Linked DNA regions of Lonchura striata. The protein of the gene in region 1 purifies or fractionates together with the protein of each later gene. This does not show direct contact. Links are inferred from orthologs where the notes say so. Each region holds a gene or a part of one and is shown on either strand. Other genes may lie near its edges.

Region 1 (9,632 bases):
CAACCTTGGTGAAGGTTCTATGATTCTATAAACGTGTCTTAGCATACCCGAGAAAGAAGGCAGTTCAAATACTTGTCCATTTAGTATGAGAGAAAAAAATATTTTAAAAACTGTATCTTGCTGCACTCATACCATGCTCCCTCTTTAACACCTTTGTTGTGATTCAACTCTGTCTGCTTGAATCAACAGCAGTGGTAGAGGCTGTACTCTCTAAAAATTAAGATTCTCTGTGGAAATTGGAGGAAGATAATCTTTTTGAAAGAAATATAAAAGAGTAGTGCTTAAAGAAAATCTCATCACTAACACAGTACCCAGGGGCTCAAATTATAACAATACAGCATGTAATCACATATTGTTTTTCAATTTCACCAGAAGTGTTGTTATAGAAAACATATACTGCAGGGAACACAGGATAAGCTACAAGGAGCAATCCTTCTGGCAAAGGAATGGTTTCTTATTTGTATTAGCCTGTAACTGACAGTATAGTTTACTATAATTTAAAAACAGAAAATTGCATGCAATATTGGCCATTATCTCCTGCAGTAATGAGATATCCCCCAAAAGATTCATGTGAGTGTTTATGGTTCATTCTCATTTCATTCAGGAAAGTGCAGTCTGGCATCACTCTTACTGTTATGGATTATGCATTATAGAGGCGTCTCAGTGATACTAATGGATAATGGTGGTTTATGGCTTCTATGAATAGATTATCAGATGGGGTTTTTTCTGCTTGAAATTCTCTTTCCTGCTAAAGCAATAAAAATGTTGAACTGACAGCATCAGTCTAGTCTAGGAAAATGAACTAGTTGACATAATCTATGTTGTTTTCACAGTTCACACTGTGTGCACTTATGAGAAAGAAAGCAAGTGAGAGCTGCTATGAAACAGCTCTCAGAAAAGTCTCAGAATTTTCCTAAGGGAATTTTCTTTCTCCATGCACAGCTAACAAATAGCAATAAAAACTGAGCCCTACAGTTCTTCTATTGTTCAGAGACTTCACTTCAGAGCCACCAGCTACAATATCATTACCATAGTAATAGTAACTTGTTAGTCATTCTTCCAGTCATAGCAATAAGGCAGAGTTCTCAGCTTATGTGCAGTGAGACTTCTAGAGATGGATACCTTTCCAGTACAATGTCTGGAAGTAACACCAGAGTTAAGCAGTGTCCATGGCAACTGAAAGCTCCCCTCTATTTGTTAGGTATAACCAAGCTTCCTAAAGAACAAAGCTCTGAATTTGTGGAGACAAGCATGTGAATAAAAAATAAGTGTCCTTTACTTTCTGTTGAAGAAAAGCATAGATGAAATCCTGGCATGGATCTGAGGCTTGTGTCTAATTTCTTCTGGATGGCAAGTTCACTTCATATTGGCAGTATGTTTTCCTTGAAGATCTTATCCAAAATGAATGCAGTAATTCCCCCAGAAAGTTAATTTTTTTTTTTTTTTTTGCCATCAACAAGACCAGATATAATTTGAATTGTACATTTAATTGCATTAGGGTGCCATGATGTAGGAGGCAGTGTTCCAAACAGGCTTCCTCATGGAAAATAATGTATTTGATCCTGTGGGAATGATGAGACTGATAGGACTCTCAAGCATGCAAGCAAAAGGGGGGAGCTTGGATTGTTAGGGAAGTTTGCAGACACAAATGTAATGTGTCTTCTCCTGCAGCTTTAAAGAGGCTTAGATTTGGATGGCAGAAACATTGCTCTCAAATCCTGACTGTTCTCCCCACATGGACAGTCTCTTGTCTTGACCACTGTTGACATTTTTACTGCCCCAGGGCCCCCACTCACTTTGGTTGGAAGTGCTTGCAGACCTCTAACTTGCTTCTTCAGGTCAGATGAAACATGTTTGAAGAAGATAACTGGTCAAAATTGTTTCCTTAGAAAATATTGATTGTGAATAGTAAAGCAGAGATCTGTCCCAGTGGGTTGTGGAGGGAGCAGAGACAAGCTTGAGACTCCAAGTGCAGCTGTTAATTATTTGTGAAATAGATACTGCTCTTTGGGGCCCCAAATCCAAATGCTCCCCCTCCAAATACTAGCCATGAAAGGTGATAATTTTATTTGTAATTCTGTGCTATTTTCCTCAGAACCCCATTTCTACCCTGGTGTCCTTTGTGGAAGCTCTGGAGGTTGGCAACAAGCACAAAAATCCTTATCACAACCTAATGCACACTGCAGGTGTGACATGGACACTCTGTTATTGTATTTTCTCCTTTTCAAGATGGACATAGCACTAAGTGCAGGAGACAGCTAAAGCCAGACAACACTGATAGGAACAGACTGAAGGCTTAAACAAAAAGAAATAATGAGCATATGGTACATTCCCACAGTGGTTGTCAAGATAGACAACAAATATCTTTGAAGGTGGGCTAGAGAAAATTAAAACAGACAGATTCCAGAATGATGATCAACCACCACAGTTTGGGTTTGGCTGGCAGCTCAGAAAGTTGCTGGTCCACTCAGTAGGAAGAGTAAATGGTAGTGAAGGCTCAAACTGTCCAGGATACACATGTATCTCATTCTGATCCTTTTCTTACTCCTGGTTATTGCCACAGCCAGAAAAGGAAATAAAATGGTCTTTACTCTGATCCTGTGTGACAGATTTTTGGTGCCTGTTATTAGTTTAATCTTCTCCCAGCGTCTAATTTGCCCTTTTCCTGCATCAGCAGAAGCATAGGGTCAAAGATATCAGTGAAAGGGAGGTTCCCCTGTTCAGTGTTTTGTGCTGTTCTCTTGTTACACCTTGGCCATTCACGGGTTGCTCTTTTTGTGGCTGGTACCTTAAAACATGCACTTCAGTTCTTTTGTGCTTCATTTCACTGGTGTCTCTTTGCTAACAAATACACAGAAGCAGCCAAGGTAAACACTTCCAGGTGCAGGGATCTTTGCAGTACAGAGCAGGCAGATGAACCCATATCAGCAGAAGCTGAGGCTGTTGCTGCAGCTCAACCTTCTTGAACATTCAGTAATTTCATTCATGCATAGTCATTCTAAGCTCTGTAGTGAGCAATTGCTGAAGAAGAGGAATGAGATAAACCCATGGTTGAACGTGTTTTGGCCCAACCAAATGCCAACACTGTTTTGTAGATGGCCTATACAAAAGTTGCCAGTCAACATCACTGGTGACCATGTGTGTCAGTAACGCCTTTCTCTGCACAGCTTGCTGAGGAACCTGAAGAAGTGATGCTGCCACGGTGTATACCGTGTAGTAGAGCAGAGGACAGAGAGGTGCAAGCTCACAAGCCAAAGCTCAGCTCCTGCTAGATCTTTCAGGGCAGTTTAAACTACTGTAGAGCTGCTTATGCTCAGGAACAGCCTTTGTGCATATAGCCTGTCTTTCTGTACTCCCTTGATTGCCACATGGATGTTGTTTTCAATTATGACAGACCTGGATGCCCTTCCCTGAGGGCATGCTCCTCCTGTAAACATGTCCTTAGTCTCCTGTCTTGAATGTAGACTCCACCTATGCCTTGTGTTTACTGAAATTGATTTGGAAGGAGTCAGGCTTTGTCAGTCTCAAGAACTGATCTAGACGATTTTAATGGAATATTGTCACTTGTTCCTGATTGCGTCTGAAGTAAATAGAAATTAGGTTGAATTTGCCACCAATACAGCTGCCTACACAAATTAATCCATTAATCCTAAACTGGTCACTGCTGCTTTTAGGGCCATTAGTTAATGAAAATGCACTGCAGGCCATTTCCAGTAAGACAAGTACAATGCTGAGGAATGGAAATTGCAATGGATCCTATTTTTCACTCTCAAACTGTGGAAGAATGGCAGTTTTCCCTTGGGGCTACTCTGTTCTGGAAAGTGCCTGGATGGAGCAGCTGCCCAAGTGCAGCAGCCCTCCTGCCTGTGTGTGTTCCAAACAGCCTCTTCCCAGCTTGCTGCTTCCTGGTCTGTTAGTAATTTAGCTGTGCAATTCCAGTGCTCTGCTTTCACCACTTGTCTAGATATGGAAGGTGATACTGGCTTTTGAAGTGTCCACTGGTGTCATGGGAGAAGGCTATTACATCCCTTCTTCCTCTTTGAAATGGGACAGATTCAATGATCAACATTTCCTCTGTTTGTGGCTCACTAATATTGCATCTCTGCTGTGACAGATCTCGTCGCTTTCTGCAGGCCTTGAGGACAATTAATGGACAAAATCCATAATTTCAGTGTTTACTTACTTTTACTCCTTTTACTTACACTGAAATTCCCCATTACTTTTGTCCTCTCCTTAGGTGCAATCAGGGTTCAACACAGCTGGGCCACCTACAACGGGTTAGACTTTTCCCATACACTCAGCTGATGGATACCAGGTTATTTTTCTACATTTTGTAAACTTTTTGGGTGACCAGGTGAAAGACTCTGGTGACAGTTATCCCACCTGGAGTACTGCATCCAACTCTGCACTCTCCAGCACAGGAAAGACACAAACCTCTTGGAGTGAGTTCAGAGGAGGACCTCCAAGATGGGAGGGGGCACCTCTCCTATGAAAGACTGAGAGAACTGGGGTTACTCAGCCTGGAGAAGGCTTTGGGGTGCCCTAATTGTGGTCTTGCAGTACCTGAAGGAACCCTTCAAGTTCTTGTAGTGACAGGACAAGGGAGAACGAGTTCAATCTGAAAGAGAGTAGGTTTGGATTAGTTATTAAGAAAATATTCTTCACTGTGAGGATGATGAGGCACTGGAACAGGTTGACCAGAGAAGTTGTGGATGTCCCAATCCTGGGAGTGTTCAAAGCTGGATGGGGCTTTGAGTAACCTGGTCTAGTGAAAGGTGTCCCTGCCCATGCCAGGGGGTGGAACTAGATGATCTTTAAGGTTCCTGTCACCCCAATCCGTTCTATGGTTCTGAGTTGTCCTGCTGACATACTAATTGTGAAAAACGCCAATCACTTGGTTTTTAAAATGTTAAAAGTTTAATAATAATAAAATGGTTATTAAAATAGTAATACAATTAGATTAGTAAAATTTAGAGTTAGGACAATTACAACACAATAAAAAGCAAAGAATTACGGATGTCTGGATGCTCTCCAACACTAAGTCACAAAAAGCATGCCTTGTGAACAAAGGAATAACCTTAAAAGCGATAGCCTATTGCATATTCATACATCTCATACATGATGCATAAATTCCTTGCAAATTAAGAACTTTTCTGGTTTTTGTCAATTCTTTCCCCTTAATCCTGGTAAATTATCAGGTAAATTCCAGTAAATTAATCCTGGTAATCAGGTAAATCCTGGTAAATTCCATAAAGACGAAGAAAAGGTTGAAGAATATTTGTCTTTTCTGATAAGGACGTTGTAACTCTTTATGGGCCCCAAGTCACTGTCATCTCTGTGTGAAGTTTCTTGATAATATCATCTCTTGCTTGAGCTAGTAAAAAAATCCTACACCACAGTTTCTATTTCAACATTATGTTGTAACCTAAAACTATATTTAACACACAACTTAAGAGAATTAATACAACATAACTTTCTAACATTACACATATAATATTCATTGTAACATTTGCGAAAAGCCAATCATAAAATATGTATTTTTCACACTAATGCTTCGTAAAAATCCTTGTTTAGTGAAAAAGCCTTTGGGAAAAAAAATCTTAGGTGGTGTAAATAAACGTGGGATATTTCCCATCGCGCCTAACTGCCCTACCTCTTCAGCAGCTCACTGCTACACAGTACAATTTTCCGAATGGCACCTGAGCAGGTAGAAAACACAAAGGTAAAGGCTTTTTAAAAAAAAAAAAAAAAAAAAAAAAAAAAAAAAAAAAAAAAAGGAGAGAGAAAACATCGGCTTGACCTGGTTCCGCGGCGCACGGGTCACGTGGGCGCGCCGCGGCCAATGGCAGCGCGCCGCGGGCGCTCGCGAGGCTTCGGTCTCCAGGGCAACGCCGGGCCCGCAGCCGTCCGAGCGCCGGCGGAGCGGCCGCCATGGTGAGTAGCGGCCGCCGTGGCGAGTAGCGGCCGCGGCCGCCCGGCACTCCCGCTTCCTCCCGGCACTCCCGCTTCCTCCCGGCACCCCGGCACGGAGCCGCTCCGCTGCGGCGGCCGGCCCGCAGCAGGGCCCGGGCTGCGGCCTGCCCTCATGCGCGAGCCGACACCTGCCTTCCTGAGCATCCCTGCCGTCCCCGCGGAGACTCCCAGGGCTTGGGGGTATTGCGGGATGCAGTGGCCAGGTGGCTGAGTGTCAGCGTGGCTGAGTCGCAGATCACAAGTGGCCTGTGCTTATGTGTTCATTTACTAGTGTACTTTCCTTTCTCTCTATAATGAATAGAAGCTTTTCAACTAAAAAAACCCTTCAGCAACAGCAAAAACATTAATTTAGCTTTCTATATGATCTCTCATCTGCAATATGTGGGATTTTGTGGGCGACATCAGTCTTGCAGCCACACTATGAGAGCTGATTTTATTTAGCGCTGGTGCTTCTTCCTCGGCTGCATTTAGTTTCCAGAGTATTGATTGTTCATCCAGGTATCCCAGGATAGCATTGTCACTGGAGCTTCCCTAAGGACAAGGTGATCAGAGGAACTGTTTTGGCTGAGTTACAACACTGCTGTCTCTCCCCAACATCAGCCAAGCTAACAAAGTACATTGGAGTCAATGAATGGACCTGCCTTTCCATCAGCTCTCCAGGGACTGTGGTGATAAACTCCCACTCCCCTGTTGTGCTTCCTTGTCATTCATGCTGCCTGCATGAGCTGTGTAGTTCCGATGTGATTGCCCATGCCAGTAATTCTTTGAAATAAAGGCACGCATAAAAGGGCTACTTAGCCAGGTCTAAAATTACTTCCTTCTTAATTTCCCTTCGGTTGTTTCTGGGTGTCCTGGTTTAGGGATGTTGAGAAATAAATTCAGATTATCACTCAAGATCTTCTTCAAAAACAGCATGGCCAGCAGGTTGAGGTAAATGATTCCCCACTGTTGTTATGAGACCCCATCTGGAGTGTTGCATACAGTTCTGGTGTTTCCAGCACAGTAAGGCCATGGAGGTGTTGGAGCAAGTCCAGAGGAAGGATATGAAGCTGACAAGAGCACTGGAACACTTCCCCTACAAAAATAGACAAGTTGGGGATGTTTAGCCTAGAGAAGAAAAAGTTGTGGAGAGACCTCATAACAACCTTCCAGAGAGGGACTCTTCATCAGGAACTGCAGCTATAGTTCAGGGCACTAATTGAAAGAGAGTAGATTTAGATTAGATAGACAGAAAAAAATGTTTATTGTGAGGGTGGTGAGGCAACAGGTTGCCCAGGGAAATTATGGATGCTCCATCCCTGGCAGTGTTCAAAGCCAGGTTGGATGGAACTCTGAGTAACCTGGTCTAGTGGGAGGTGTGCCTGCCTGTGGCAGGGAGTTGAAACTAGATAGTCTTTAAGGTCCCTTCCAACACAAACATTCTGTGATTCTGTGAGAAGTCTCAGGAGTTCACATAAAAAGTAACAAACATAGCATACTTTCCTCTGGGTTTTTTGTTAGTACATCTATAGAAGATATATCATTCAGCTACATTATGCATGTGTAATGTAATACCAAGATATATTTATCCAAGAGCTTTGTCTCAGTCCTTCTGCTTCTGATCCTCTGTTTACCTCTGTCTCTGATTTTGTATGACTTTTTTTACGTTACTTGAATCCTTGCTTCCAAGTATTGGAACTTTCTCACCCACTTATGAGAGGTGCACAGGGACTCGATATATGAAAATATGTTTGTTTTTCAACATGCTAGTTAGAACCCTGTGAAAGCAATCACAGAAACTAGTCAGAAGGCAAGTATTCACAGTAGTTATGCTCATTTTTCCTTATGTTTGTCTTTGTGCTTGTATCCTCCTCCACAGGCAGAGCTGGGTGTTAATGAGCACCACCAGAACGAAGTGGTCAGCTACATGCGCTTCGCTCGTTTCAAGCGGGGCATGTGTCTCAAAACAGTGGATTCTTGTTTCCAGGACCTCAAGGACAGCAGGTGCTGTGTGGGGTGGTGCTGAGCAAGAATAAAGCAAAATATGCTAGCAGCAGTGGCAGGTTTGAATACTTTATGGGGCAATTTTTCTCCATTTAGGTTTGTATGTTCTTGTATTTTCCAGAAGTTACAAGTCAAATGCTTTTAAACCCAAGTTTGTCAAATTCTTAGGAATTAACAGAGATATTGACAGCATGACATTGCTGCACGTCTTGCTTCTGATATGTAAATTTGATACAAGGCAGTAGCTGAATTAGTATTTGTGACTTTAATGATTTAAAGAGAAAATTCAAATACAGTAACCAATTAGTAATGTTGTGGTAATCTAACAACGACTGCCAGTGGATGTTTTTATAAAACATTGCATTATACGAGTGGTGCCTGTGTAGTGAGATCTCATAAGGCACAATTGTTACCTTTATCATACTTGACTCATCTTGACCTCTCTGCTTAGACTCGTTGAAGAGACCTTCACAGTTGACGAGGTGACAGACATGCTGGATGGACTGCAGAGTGTTGTACACAGCGAAGTGGAGTCAGAGCTCATAAACACAACTTACACCAACGTTCTACTTCTGCGGCAGCTCTTCTCACAGGCTGAGAAATGGTACCTGAAGTTACAGACTGATGTCTCTGACTTGGAAAATCGGTAACAGCTGTTGGACTATACTTGCAACAATAAGAATACTTCAAAGTGTTGACTATTTGCATTCTTTTCCTAAGCACAGAAACCTATTATTTTACTATTATATCAATGATAGGTTAGCTTCAATGTTTCCATCTGTAAAATAGCAAGATACAAAATAATTTCAAAATTGTGAGCAAGATGTTTTGTTAGTAATATTCTTACTTGAATTAATCATTTAAGAGCAGGTCACTGGACTCAATTAAAAAGCTTTTGTTATCTGGTTAGATTATATTTTAATTAAGGATGCTAAATCTATTGCACTGCATGTATCATGCCATTATGTGACATGATCTGTTGCATTTATATTTCTGTAAGACTTAATTCTGTACTTCTAACAAGAATTTTACATGCAAGAAAAAGCATAGCACCAGCTTGGTAAAATATGTTTCATAGTGTAGCTCTTAGTAAAGAAATGCCTCCTTAAATTTTTCTTTGGTAAATAAATGCCTCTTTATTTTTTTTTTCCCAAGAGAATTATTGGACCAGGTTGCTGAGTTTGAAAAGTCAGAATATACATCTTCAAACAAAAAGGTAGAATTTCATTTTAATCAAATCATAATTAAATGTCCTGTGGAATCATGACAGATGTTTAAAATATTTATTATTGACTCTTTCTGCTTAGGAGAAAACCAAAACCCCACTTTTTTTTTTATAAAACAATCTTTGAAACTCTCCAAAAAGTCATTTTGCATTTTGGCACCAAGGCTCCCTCTGAAGTGCCTTGGCTGTTTCCAAAGAATCTGTTCTGCCCTTCTGAGGTGTGCCTCACACACCTCATCCCAAGGTTAGCCACACCAGGAATATGTGGCAGTGTCTGCTTCTGGGTTCCTTCCTCTGGCACCAGGGCTGAGACTGGGACATTCGCTTGTCCCAGCATGGACCCAAGAGCTGAGAAGATTGCACAGTACAGATATCACTCTAGTTTGTCTTGCTTGAATATAGTTGCAAACCTTATTTGGTTTGTAGCATAAAGGTGTATTTATGTATATTA
Region 2 (9,996 bases), on another chromosome or scaffold:
CTAGTGCTGTAAGATGTCTTCAACTGAATGTTAATATAATTTAGAACTGTCTAAAACAGTCATGTCTTTTTTACTTATACGTAAAGAATTACCTTGCATAGTCACTTTTCTGCTGCATTTTTAAAATCGGCTTAAAAATCAGGACAAAATAATTAACAAAGACAAGCTACAAAATCTTGAAAACATAGTAAAATAGCATTATTAATTTTGTGTATATTCTAAGTCTTGTTACCCCCATTTCCATTGCTCAGAGCAAGAACAGTAGGTGGTCCAGGAAGTTCTACTTCATACAGCAAATCAGATCCCTGAAGACAAAGAGAACAATCTCAAATGAATTTGTTAAAAAAAACAACACTCACAACCAAAACAACAACAAAAACCTCCAAAACACCAGCCACATACCAAACCAAAGTCCCACAATGACAAAATTATTATGGATCATAATAAAATGTAAGATTTACTTATTCAAACTCCTATGGGAAAACCATGTCTAAGCCAAAAACAGGGTGAAGTTTGTACAAATAAAACACAGGACTCCTGAAACGTGTTATTATAATTTTAAATGATCCAGGAACTCAGCTGGCAATTTAATATGTTAAACCCCTTAGTATCACTCAAGACTTGTCGCAACAGTAATTTATGAGAGCAAGAATTCCCAAAGTGATAAAGCCTTCAGGAAATTAAATGAGCACTTTTAGTTAGAAGGGACCAATTTGTCATCAACTTCCACCTATGAATTCCAAAGCCTGTCTATAGTGGTTTCATTAATCCTCATTTTTTACAAGTTTATGATGATTCTCCTTTCGAAAAACAGCAGCAAGGGAATGCACCAGCAGCAGCATTACCAAGTAAGGCACAGTGTACTGATCCTGATCCTGTTTAAGCCATGCTGATATGTATTCCCTTATTAATTAGTCCAATTCCACAGAACCATACATAAAACATAAAGAAGGGGGCATTTTAACCTGTAACACCCTGAGCACTCTGTCCTGACATGCAAGCACTGGTGTGATGCAGTTCACTTTGTCTACAGGAAGGCAGAGAACATCATTGATTTTATCTCCTGACAGGAAGTAGTGCTGGTCCTTGCAGTCACAGTAATGGTTATAGATGTAGCTTGCACAGAGAAAGAGATCTGCTCCTGAAATGTACCTGAGGAGAAGAAAACACTTCCTGTAGCCTCTTGCTGCAGTAGGAGTCCTTTATGCTTTTATGCCTTACTATGCTTACAGCTCCAAGGTAATATGGGGCCCTGCAAGCTGTTCCAGCTTTTAGAGTTCCTTACAAATATTAAAACCATGTGGTTTCTACAGCTCTCACATTTCTACTTTGTCTTCAGGTACATCCTTAAGAATATCTTTATAGAAATTTCATTACTATAATTTTTATGCTGATTTGTCAATGGCAGCATCTTACACTGCAATCCAAAAGAGATTTTGCTCCAGGAGCTGTGTGGACAGGATGCACTGTATCAATAACCCCAGCTCTGCTCACTCAGATTTTGCACTGCTGTGAGTGCAATGAGTCCAGACCACTCCCAATTCCCCCCACACTTCCAAGACTTCTCTGTGATATTCCAAATTCCTCCAACAGGTTACAGCACAAGCTGAAGCTGGACTAGCACTTAGTGTCACCTACACAATATGCTTAACATTAATGCATAAAATCATAAACAAACAATCTGCTATAACTGCCAAAAAATGCAAAATATCATACATACATAGCTTTGATGCTTTCAGTAAGGTTAGTTTCAAAGGAAAGAAACTGCTTCCCTCTTTTTGTGAAACCTCTGACTTCGGATCCTATAGCCACAAAAATTTTCTCCTGTGGTGTATTAAGAGCTCCTCCCAGCTCCAGTCTGGAGATCTTTTGTCCTGGTAGCGTCTTGAACACTGGCTGTCAACAGAAAATCAATTTTCATCATCACAATATCATATTTACAGTAATCTTTTAACATAAAGGATAGGAAATTTACAATTTCTGGCAAAACTAAGATGCAATGGATTGTACACAGACAAAAATAATCTGCATATTTATCTTCAGAATCACAGAGCAATCAAGCATTTTATCAGTAAATACATACAAAAAGCTTTAAAACACAATAAATTAAGATTTCATTACTTCATTGTTATTAATTCATCTATGGGAAAAATTCAGCACTGCTGTCAGCTGTTTTGTTTGTGGTTTGTTTTTTTATTTTAAAGAACAACACACACACACTCCCTCCCTCTCACATGTTACGTTCTTATTCCAGAAGTCTACATTGATTTATTTGTATTGCTATAGAATACTTATGAGCTGACCATGGACTTCCTGGAGAAGAAAACCCATGGAAAAAAAAAGTTTTATTGCATTGGGCATAAAAAGCAATCAGTTTGTTCAAATCCTTAAGGTGATTTAATAAATCTCTGCAGGTTTTTGTCTTGTTACAATAACTGTGTATGTACTCAGGCTTAAGCCAAACTTAATAGAAGTTAAGTTTTTTTTCCACATTAGTTTTTGACTGTAACTGTGGAGAATCCTGTGCTTGATCAGGCATGAGATCAGCATGCCCTCACCACAGTTAGGCATCAGGCCACAGCTCTACCTAGACCCCTTCCACTGGCATCTTATTTGCCACATCAATAAAAAATGAACTTTCAAAGTTCACTGGAAAGAATATTCCAAAAATAAAAATTTAAATGGAACATTTCCACTTACCACAGCTTCCCCCTTTTTTATGCCAAAGCACGTAACGACCCCATCCTGATCTCCAACAACCACCTTCAAAAGTGTAATACATTGTTATTTTTTATTACACACACAACTGTGGTTTTAAATAATACTCTTCCTGTATTCACAGAATCACAGAATGGTTTGGGTTGGAAGGGACCTTAAAAATCACCCAGCTCCAATCCCTTGCCAGGGACAGGGACACCTGCCACTATCCCAGGTTGCTCATGTTCCATCCAACCTGACTTTGAACTCTTCCAGGGATAGAGCAGCCACAGCTTCTCTGGGTAACCCTCAGAGGAAAGAATTTTTTCCTTCTATTTAATCTATACCTATTCTCTTATGAGTTTGAAACCATTTCCCCTTGTCCTGTCACTACATGCTATCGTAAATAGTCCTCTATTATAATGTTAATGATATTTTCATTTATTTAAGGACTCAAAGTTCTAGAGTACTTAATTACATACGGAAGTATACTAAGATCTATATAAAATGCTATAGATAGGATATTGAACAGCAGTTCAAGTACAGGCATTTGCAATCCTTTTCCTGTTTCTACTTTTAAATGTCAGCAACCATGAGGTGAAGATGTATTTGGGAAAAGTTGTGTTTTCACACTAAGACTTTATTACTGAAAAAAAATCAGCTACTTCTATTGAGTTTCCCTAACAAGGTTTCCTTAATTTGAACTTATATTAAGGAGAACTTAAAAAAAAAAAATTTCATAGAATCCTCAAGGTTGGAAAAGACATTTAAGATCATCAAGTTCAACCATCAAGTTGTCATTATTACTATAACCTCTAAACCATGGCACCCACCCAGTGCCAGATCCAGACACCTCTTAAACACCTCCAGGGACGGTGACTCCACCTGCTCCCTGGGCAGCCTAGTCCAATGCTTGACCATCTTAACAGTAAAATATTTTTTAAATATCTAACCTGAATCTCCCTTGTCTCAGCTTCAGGCCATTTCCTCTAGGCTTAAGTGGAATAGAGAAATATGGAGGAACTCCTTTGTGGTTTCAGCAACGCTGTAAACTACAAAAATTCCTTCCCGGTTCTGAAGTTTTCCAATCACAAATTAGGGGTTTTTTTTCTATTTTTTTTCCCCACAAAAAAGGTTTTCCAAACCCCCAAAATGGGCTTGCAGTCTTTCCCTATGACGTCCTATATCTAAGGAAACTCTGGGGATGATTAACGATGGGATGAGGCACAGGACAGGAGCGAAGCACCAGGCGGTCGGTACCTTCTGCGTGGACTTCTTCCCGGAGGCGGGCAGCAGCCTCATCGTCTTCTGCGCCGTGACTCCCACCTGTGGATGGAAGAGACGCTCCAGAGCGGGGCCCGCAGCGCCGGGACGCGCCCCGGGCCGCTCGCAGGCCCCGCCGCACGGCCGCCCCTTGCCCCGGCGGGCCGTGCCGCCTGGTCCCGCTGCCGGGGGCTGCCGGAGCGCTGCCGTGCCCACCTGCAGGTAATCCACGCGTGCCAGGCTGGGCTCCATCGCTCCCGCGGGACGCGCGGCCCTCCCGCGGGCACGGCGCGCCCGCCGCCCGTCACCGCGGCAACCTCCGCGCGGCGGCCGCCTCCCATTGGCTGGGCGGGCGGGAGGGGGCGGGGCCTCGGCCAGACGGGCGCTGCGATTGGCTGGAATGCCCCGGGGCGGGGCAAGGGGCGGGCAGAGCCGGGGGCGCCGCGGAGAGGCTCCCGCAGGAACGGGGCGGAGGGGGATGCCGGGCTCGGTGCCGAACCGGGCGGGAGGTGTGGTTTATTTAACAACGAAGCCGAAAATATCTGCCCTGCGCGGTGTCTGAGTTAAAAAAAAAAGCCTTACTCGGTGCGGGTACGTGTATACAGAGACATGTTAAATAGCGCTGCTGCCATTACATTACATTCCAACTTACCTGGTTCTCAGCATTTCCTTGTGGTCATAACCATGAGTTTTGGGCTTACACGCGTTACTAATACTACTAATAAAGAACAAAGATTTCAAGTAATCCTCCACTCATGTCTAGTTGGTTTATTGTAGTATGAAAAATCCTATTTTGTACCTGGACACTGCAAGGAACAGAGTATTACGCTGTATCTGTTAATTTTTTGTCTTGCAAATTTAGTGCAAAGAATTCTCCATATGTAACCATAAACCTGTTAAAATATCAGCGATCGATACCATTATACCTTTTTAATGCATAAATGAAAAAAAAATTATGGTAGTTCTTGCTTTTAGACAATTAAAATGAAGAGAGCAATCTTTTTGTGGTGAGTTAATAAAAGTTCCTAAGACTAAATTCCAGAGAAGCTGTACATAAAGTTATTTAGTGCTAAAAATCTACAATACATTTTTTTCAAGTATGAGATACTGAAATATTATTGCCAATAAATAGTTGTGCTGTAGTCGAAGCCACGTTTCCTTTGTGGAATCATTCACATCTCAGCATATTAGGATTTAGTTTCTCACTGAGTTTATGTATTAAAATTGCCAACTCTTCTGTTGCTTGGGACTTATCCTCCAACAGTTCATAGCGAAGACTGGAGATGTCCTGTTTGATTTCCTTTAATTCACCTGCATTAATAATGGAAACAAACACTTGTTAGCAAAGTTTAACATTCACTGGATACTCCTCTGTTAAGTCACATCAGTGCCTATCTCAGATCATCATCCCAAAATGTTCATGAGAGCAGGTACAGGATGGGTCAGGAGGATATACCTCATCTTCATTCTCAGTGAGATGTGTCTCCAGCCCTAAATAGCACCGAAGGAATTTTAATAGTCCATTGGGGACTCGAATTGTGCTCCACGTGTATACACAACACCAAAGATTCCCAAGGGCTGTACAAAGGTTAATGAATTAATCACACCAACACTGCTGAACAGCTGGTAAATATTAGTACCCCCTTTTTAGAGAGAAAAGGAAAAGAGGTTTTTTTCTGAAGGGATGTGCCAAAATCACAAAGGAAAGGTGTGGCAGAGCTGGCAGTAAAACTCACAGCTTCTGAGTCTCTCTCCTCTTCCTTACCAACATCCTTGGAATTAGAAAAAGTCAACCAATTTAACATGATGTTATAATTTGACACAAATACAAAAAACACATATAAACAAAGCTGTCAAAGCCAGACTTGTAATAAGCAGCAGCATGGTTTACCTTGTAGGATATTCAGTTCAAGAGCAAAAGCTTTAAAAAATGTTCAGATATTGGTCTTCCAGCAAGTGTGAGGGATGTGAATTCTTACACAGCATCTGCCTCAGGAAATGATTTGTCATGTATACAGTAGAAGAGTATGAAGAGACACCTAAATTCCCTAATGATGCAGAACAGGGAAAACCTCTAGACTTTTGTTAAAGCAGTTGTAGTACATAGACATGCCAACGTTTCCTGTTTGGGGTATAGCAGATTTCAAGAACTGTGTCTTCGGAGGCTGGGTCTGTGCTTTGGGTACCAATGAGATGCTCAGGACACAGAGTACTTGGCTGTGCAGCTGAAGAGTGAAACTCAATGGTTACTTGCCCTGATCAAAGTGGACTTTCTTCTATAAAACTTGGTGCCAAAGCCAGAAGCATGATGTCAGCAAATCCTGATTCTTCTGCACTGTCTTTCTAATTTAAACATCTCTGCCAACACCAAAGTGGCATCAGGGACCTGGAAAGGGCTGGCACTGCTGGTGGCAGAACAGTCTTTTCATCAGTCACTAGGTAGATGATTTCATACATCACAGAGCAGGAACAGGAGGAAAGCAGTGGGAATTCAGGAGAGCAGCACACTGAGAGGATTCACTTTTAGGAGCCTTTCTGCTTTTGTCAGTGACAATCACAGCTCTGGATAGTCACACAGGATGGGGAAATGTCAGGGTAACAGTCAGTGCACAATGCTGCCTTTTGAAGGCACTGAGGGGGATTTAATTTAATCTTTTTTGTTCCCTGCTTCTCCCTGCAGAGAGTTACAGGTAAGCAGAGAGCAACTAAGGAGCAAAACAGAAGCTTTGCTGCCTTAGCCGAGAGATGAGCAGCACTTTTAGGCCCCTTATATGCACACAGCTGCCTGATGCTGCCATGCCAGTAAAACATCTTCTGACCCCAGGCTGTCCATCACTGCATCACTCTGTTGCTTGATAACATTCTAGCTAGAGTTTTTGTCTGGGGATCTGCCCAGAGCATAGGAGTTTCCTTGTTGGACTGCAGGCTTGTGTTTCATTCCTGGAAGATTGGAAGGAGGGAGGACCACCTTTGCCATAATCTCATCCCAGTGGTGAGTGAGGGCATGCACCTGGAGCAAGTACCTCTCACAGGGAGCTCAGATCCACTGTTTCTCAAAAGGTCTCCCACTAAAATAGAGGTTACATTTGACATTTTTTATCACCATGCAGCTGTGGGGCTTTGTTTAATGATGGGCAGCTTCACAGGTGATTATTCCTTGAAGCTTTATGAAGGAAGGCAGGACCAGTAATTCGTGGTGTAAAGTGGTAAATTGTGTATAATTGTGTGTTCAGTTCAATGAAACAGAGAGGAAGATCCTGCAGATTTGATTAGCACTCTGGAAGTGTGAATACAGTTAATAGCTCCTTCACAGATTTCCTCTGTGCATTATGTTTGTGCTCTTATTTTCTATCTGTAGAATGGGGCCCATAACATTTCTCAGTCCTACTTCTTTAGTCATGCTTTTCCATTTTTTTGATGACATGGGCATACTTCCATTACTATCTGAGCCTCAGTGCATGTGAAATAGAAACAATCCCTCTTTTCACTCAAAACCCCCATGCATCATGTAATACTGGTTCCTAATACAACATGAAAAAAAATTGCCTCTGAATATTGCAGTCTTTTTCTTACCTTCATTGACTTCATCATTTTCTTTGTCCACTTGTGCTTTCAGAACATAACGTTTTATCAGTCTCTTCATTATTTGCTGCCAGATTAAAACAGTTATATAATCAGGTGAGATAATATAATTAAACATTGTTCATTTTTCTTTCTTAGCTCTCTCTGTCACATCTGCCTAAGAGAAAGAATGAACAGCTCTGAATGAAGTACTTGCCTCAAATGGGCTTTTCTGGGGGCATGCTGAGAAAGGAAGGGAACAGCCAACCTAGTCAGCTTTTATATCCCTTGCCCAGAAACCCACTTCAGATACTCCTTCACCAATTTCAGATGTTTGCTCCTCACACTTTCCCAACTGAGACATCAAAGACCAATTCTAAGTACTGCATGAGCTCGTTTTGAAATGCTTCAAATAACTATATGAAGGGCTTATACAATAACTGTCTTTTCTTTCAAGGAGCACTTAAGAGTTTGATTTCTACAGGAGGTTTTCTTTATCTGGTGAAGGCAAAATGTACTTGAAACACAAAATTCTGCTAGAACATTCTCACTGTTCTATTACACAGGACAGTGATCACTGTATATACTTACCTGATAGCGTGTTGGCTGATTGAGAATGCTGTTAAAACTGTGGGATTCAAAAACTCTGGAATTCGACTGAGTGAAAAGGTTTAACTAGGAAGAAATAAGACAAAATTAAAATAAATTATGGAATTCACAGTTAGGATTCAGCTCCATTATTATTTTCCTTTAGAAATGTTTGGGATCTTTCCATCTTTTACTATATCAGAGTATTTTTTTTTTAATGAGATTGCCTTGAATTATATGTTGGTTTTGGATTTGTTTTTTTTTTAATGCTGATAATTTTAGCCATCCTGTTCTGAGAAAATAGACTCAAAGTATCCTTAATCAATATTCAAGTAACTCCTTGCAGGAATTATTTGCATCTTTGAGCAGTCATCAATTTTTGGTTTAATTCTGTTTTCCCAGATTTGGTTGTTCTAACAAAATTTAAGTCTATTTCTTGTTTTATGCAGTATGTTTAGGTAGTCTGAAATAGAGATTTAGTGCTATAAATTATTAGTTACTCTATTATCATCAGAAGCATGGATTATAAGTTAAAGCTAAAAAGAAAAGAAGATTGCTGGAATAGACACAGAATTCTTCACTGCAATGAAAAGATCTCAGAACCTACCCTCGATTTGGAGTTGCCCATTCCCATTTCAATGTCCTTCTGTAGCCGTCTCCTCCTGCACTTAGAAAAGTTAATGATCCTCATGATGAAATAGAAAAAAGACTTGGGGCTTGGTACAAGACTGAAGGGTGGAGGTAACGTTTTTCCATCATCAAAATAGGACAGCCAAAGTTTAGAACGAGCAAACTTCCACTCTACATCACTGTCATCCTGTGTTACAAAATAAAACAGATGATGCTCTTGGTTTTTATGAAATGCAAAGCTTCTTTCAAATGAAACTGCTTTGAAATATCTTTCTGGTTTTAGATAAAATATTATTTTCTTGCTAGTAAGACTTCCAGCAGTTCTGCAAAAATGCAGCCACTTTACTTAGTCTATTTTAAACAAATTTCAGTTGTCTCTTATGGCAACATTTCATTGAGAATACTTAGTTCAAGCACATGAAAAAACAAGCATAATTTTTGCATCAAGTGAAAGCCAACATATAAACTCCCTGCTATTTAAAGCGGAACTTTCAGGGATTTTCAAGTCTTGTTTTTCTTATTAAAGCAGTCACATGGGCTTGGTACTTGCACAAGTGTTGAAGTATTAGACTCAAGGCAAAAAATGGCTTAAAATGGTTGTGCTCACAGCTTTTTGCATAACCAGGACAATCAACTCTGATCTATAATGGAGTATGAAAAATGCAAACTTTGTAGTGCTGAAGAAATTGTGTTCAATACTGACAAACCTATTTTGTCCTAATACACTCTTACTGAAGTATTCCAAGGCTGGATTGTAACTAGTTTTCTCCTGCTCAATTCCCTAACACTTTCCAGAACTCATTGAAAACACTGGGAATGACATATCCATTTGTGTACTATGTCTCAGATAATTGTTCTTCCTGTTTGTGTGGGTGTGTGCCTGCATCTGTGTGAATGTAGTACTCTTCGGACTCATGGTTTGGAAAGCTGGCACTATAAATACACTTCACATTTTTCACTATAAATACATTTCACTATAAATACATTTTTCATTTCAGTAACCTGAGATTTATTTTTGAAACCCAAGTATCTTCAATGCTATACATTTTCTGATTTGTTTTTTAACTGGAGTTGGATGCCAAATATTGTGTTTACATGGCACGAGATAAACCTGTTTAGATCCTTTGAGTTTCTGCAGCTTGGCTGAGTTGTTAGATAAAGTCAGCCTTCTTTTATACATTTTGTGATATCCTTTCCTGTGGTAATCTCTTCTTTGTACTTTTTGCACACCACTGAAATAATTCCTATTAACTCTGC

Evidence for each region.
Region 2: the proteins of LZTFL1 (region 1) and BBS7 purify together in Homo sapiens (affinity purification with mass spectrometry; 3 studies listed by BioGRID and IntAct, counting the BioPlex papers as one, with this or other methods). This does not show direct contact. The link is inferred for Lonchura striata from reciprocal best matches to the Homo sapiens genes LZTFL1 and BBS7.

What each region holds. Positions count from the first base shown.
Region 1 is NC_134603.1:111,322,199-111,331,830, forward strand, and holds the start of LZTFL1 (leucine zipper transcription factor-like protein 1), read left to right. Parts: upstream 1-5,850; 5' UTR 5,851-5,931; coding exon 5,932-5,934; intron 5,935-7,831; coding exon 7,832-7,956; intron 7,957-8,407; coding exon 8,408-8,602; intron 8,603-9,111; coding exon 9,112-9,172; intron 9,173-9,632. UniProt on the Homo sapiens protein: Regulates ciliary localization of the BBSome complex. Together with the BBSome complex, controls SMO ciliary trafficking and contributes to the sonic hedgehog (SHH) pathway regulation. May play a role in neurite outgrowth. May have tumor suppressor function.
Region 2 is NC_134606.1:69,507,246-69,517,241, reverse strand, and holds the start of BBS7 (BBSome complex member BBS7), read right to left. Parts: upstream 4,288-9,996; 5' UTR 4,213-4,287; coding exon 4,177-4,212; intron 4,024-4,176; coding exon 3,958-4,023; intron 2,764-3,957; coding exon 2,701-2,763; intron 1,897-2,700; coding exon 1,721-1,896; intron 1,153-1,720; coding exon 966-1,152; intron 306-965; coding exon 233-305; intron 1-232. Other genes in the region: TRPC3 (short transient receptor potential channel 3), read right to left, coding at 5,129-5,271, 7,534-7,609, 8,113-8,196, 8,717-8,926.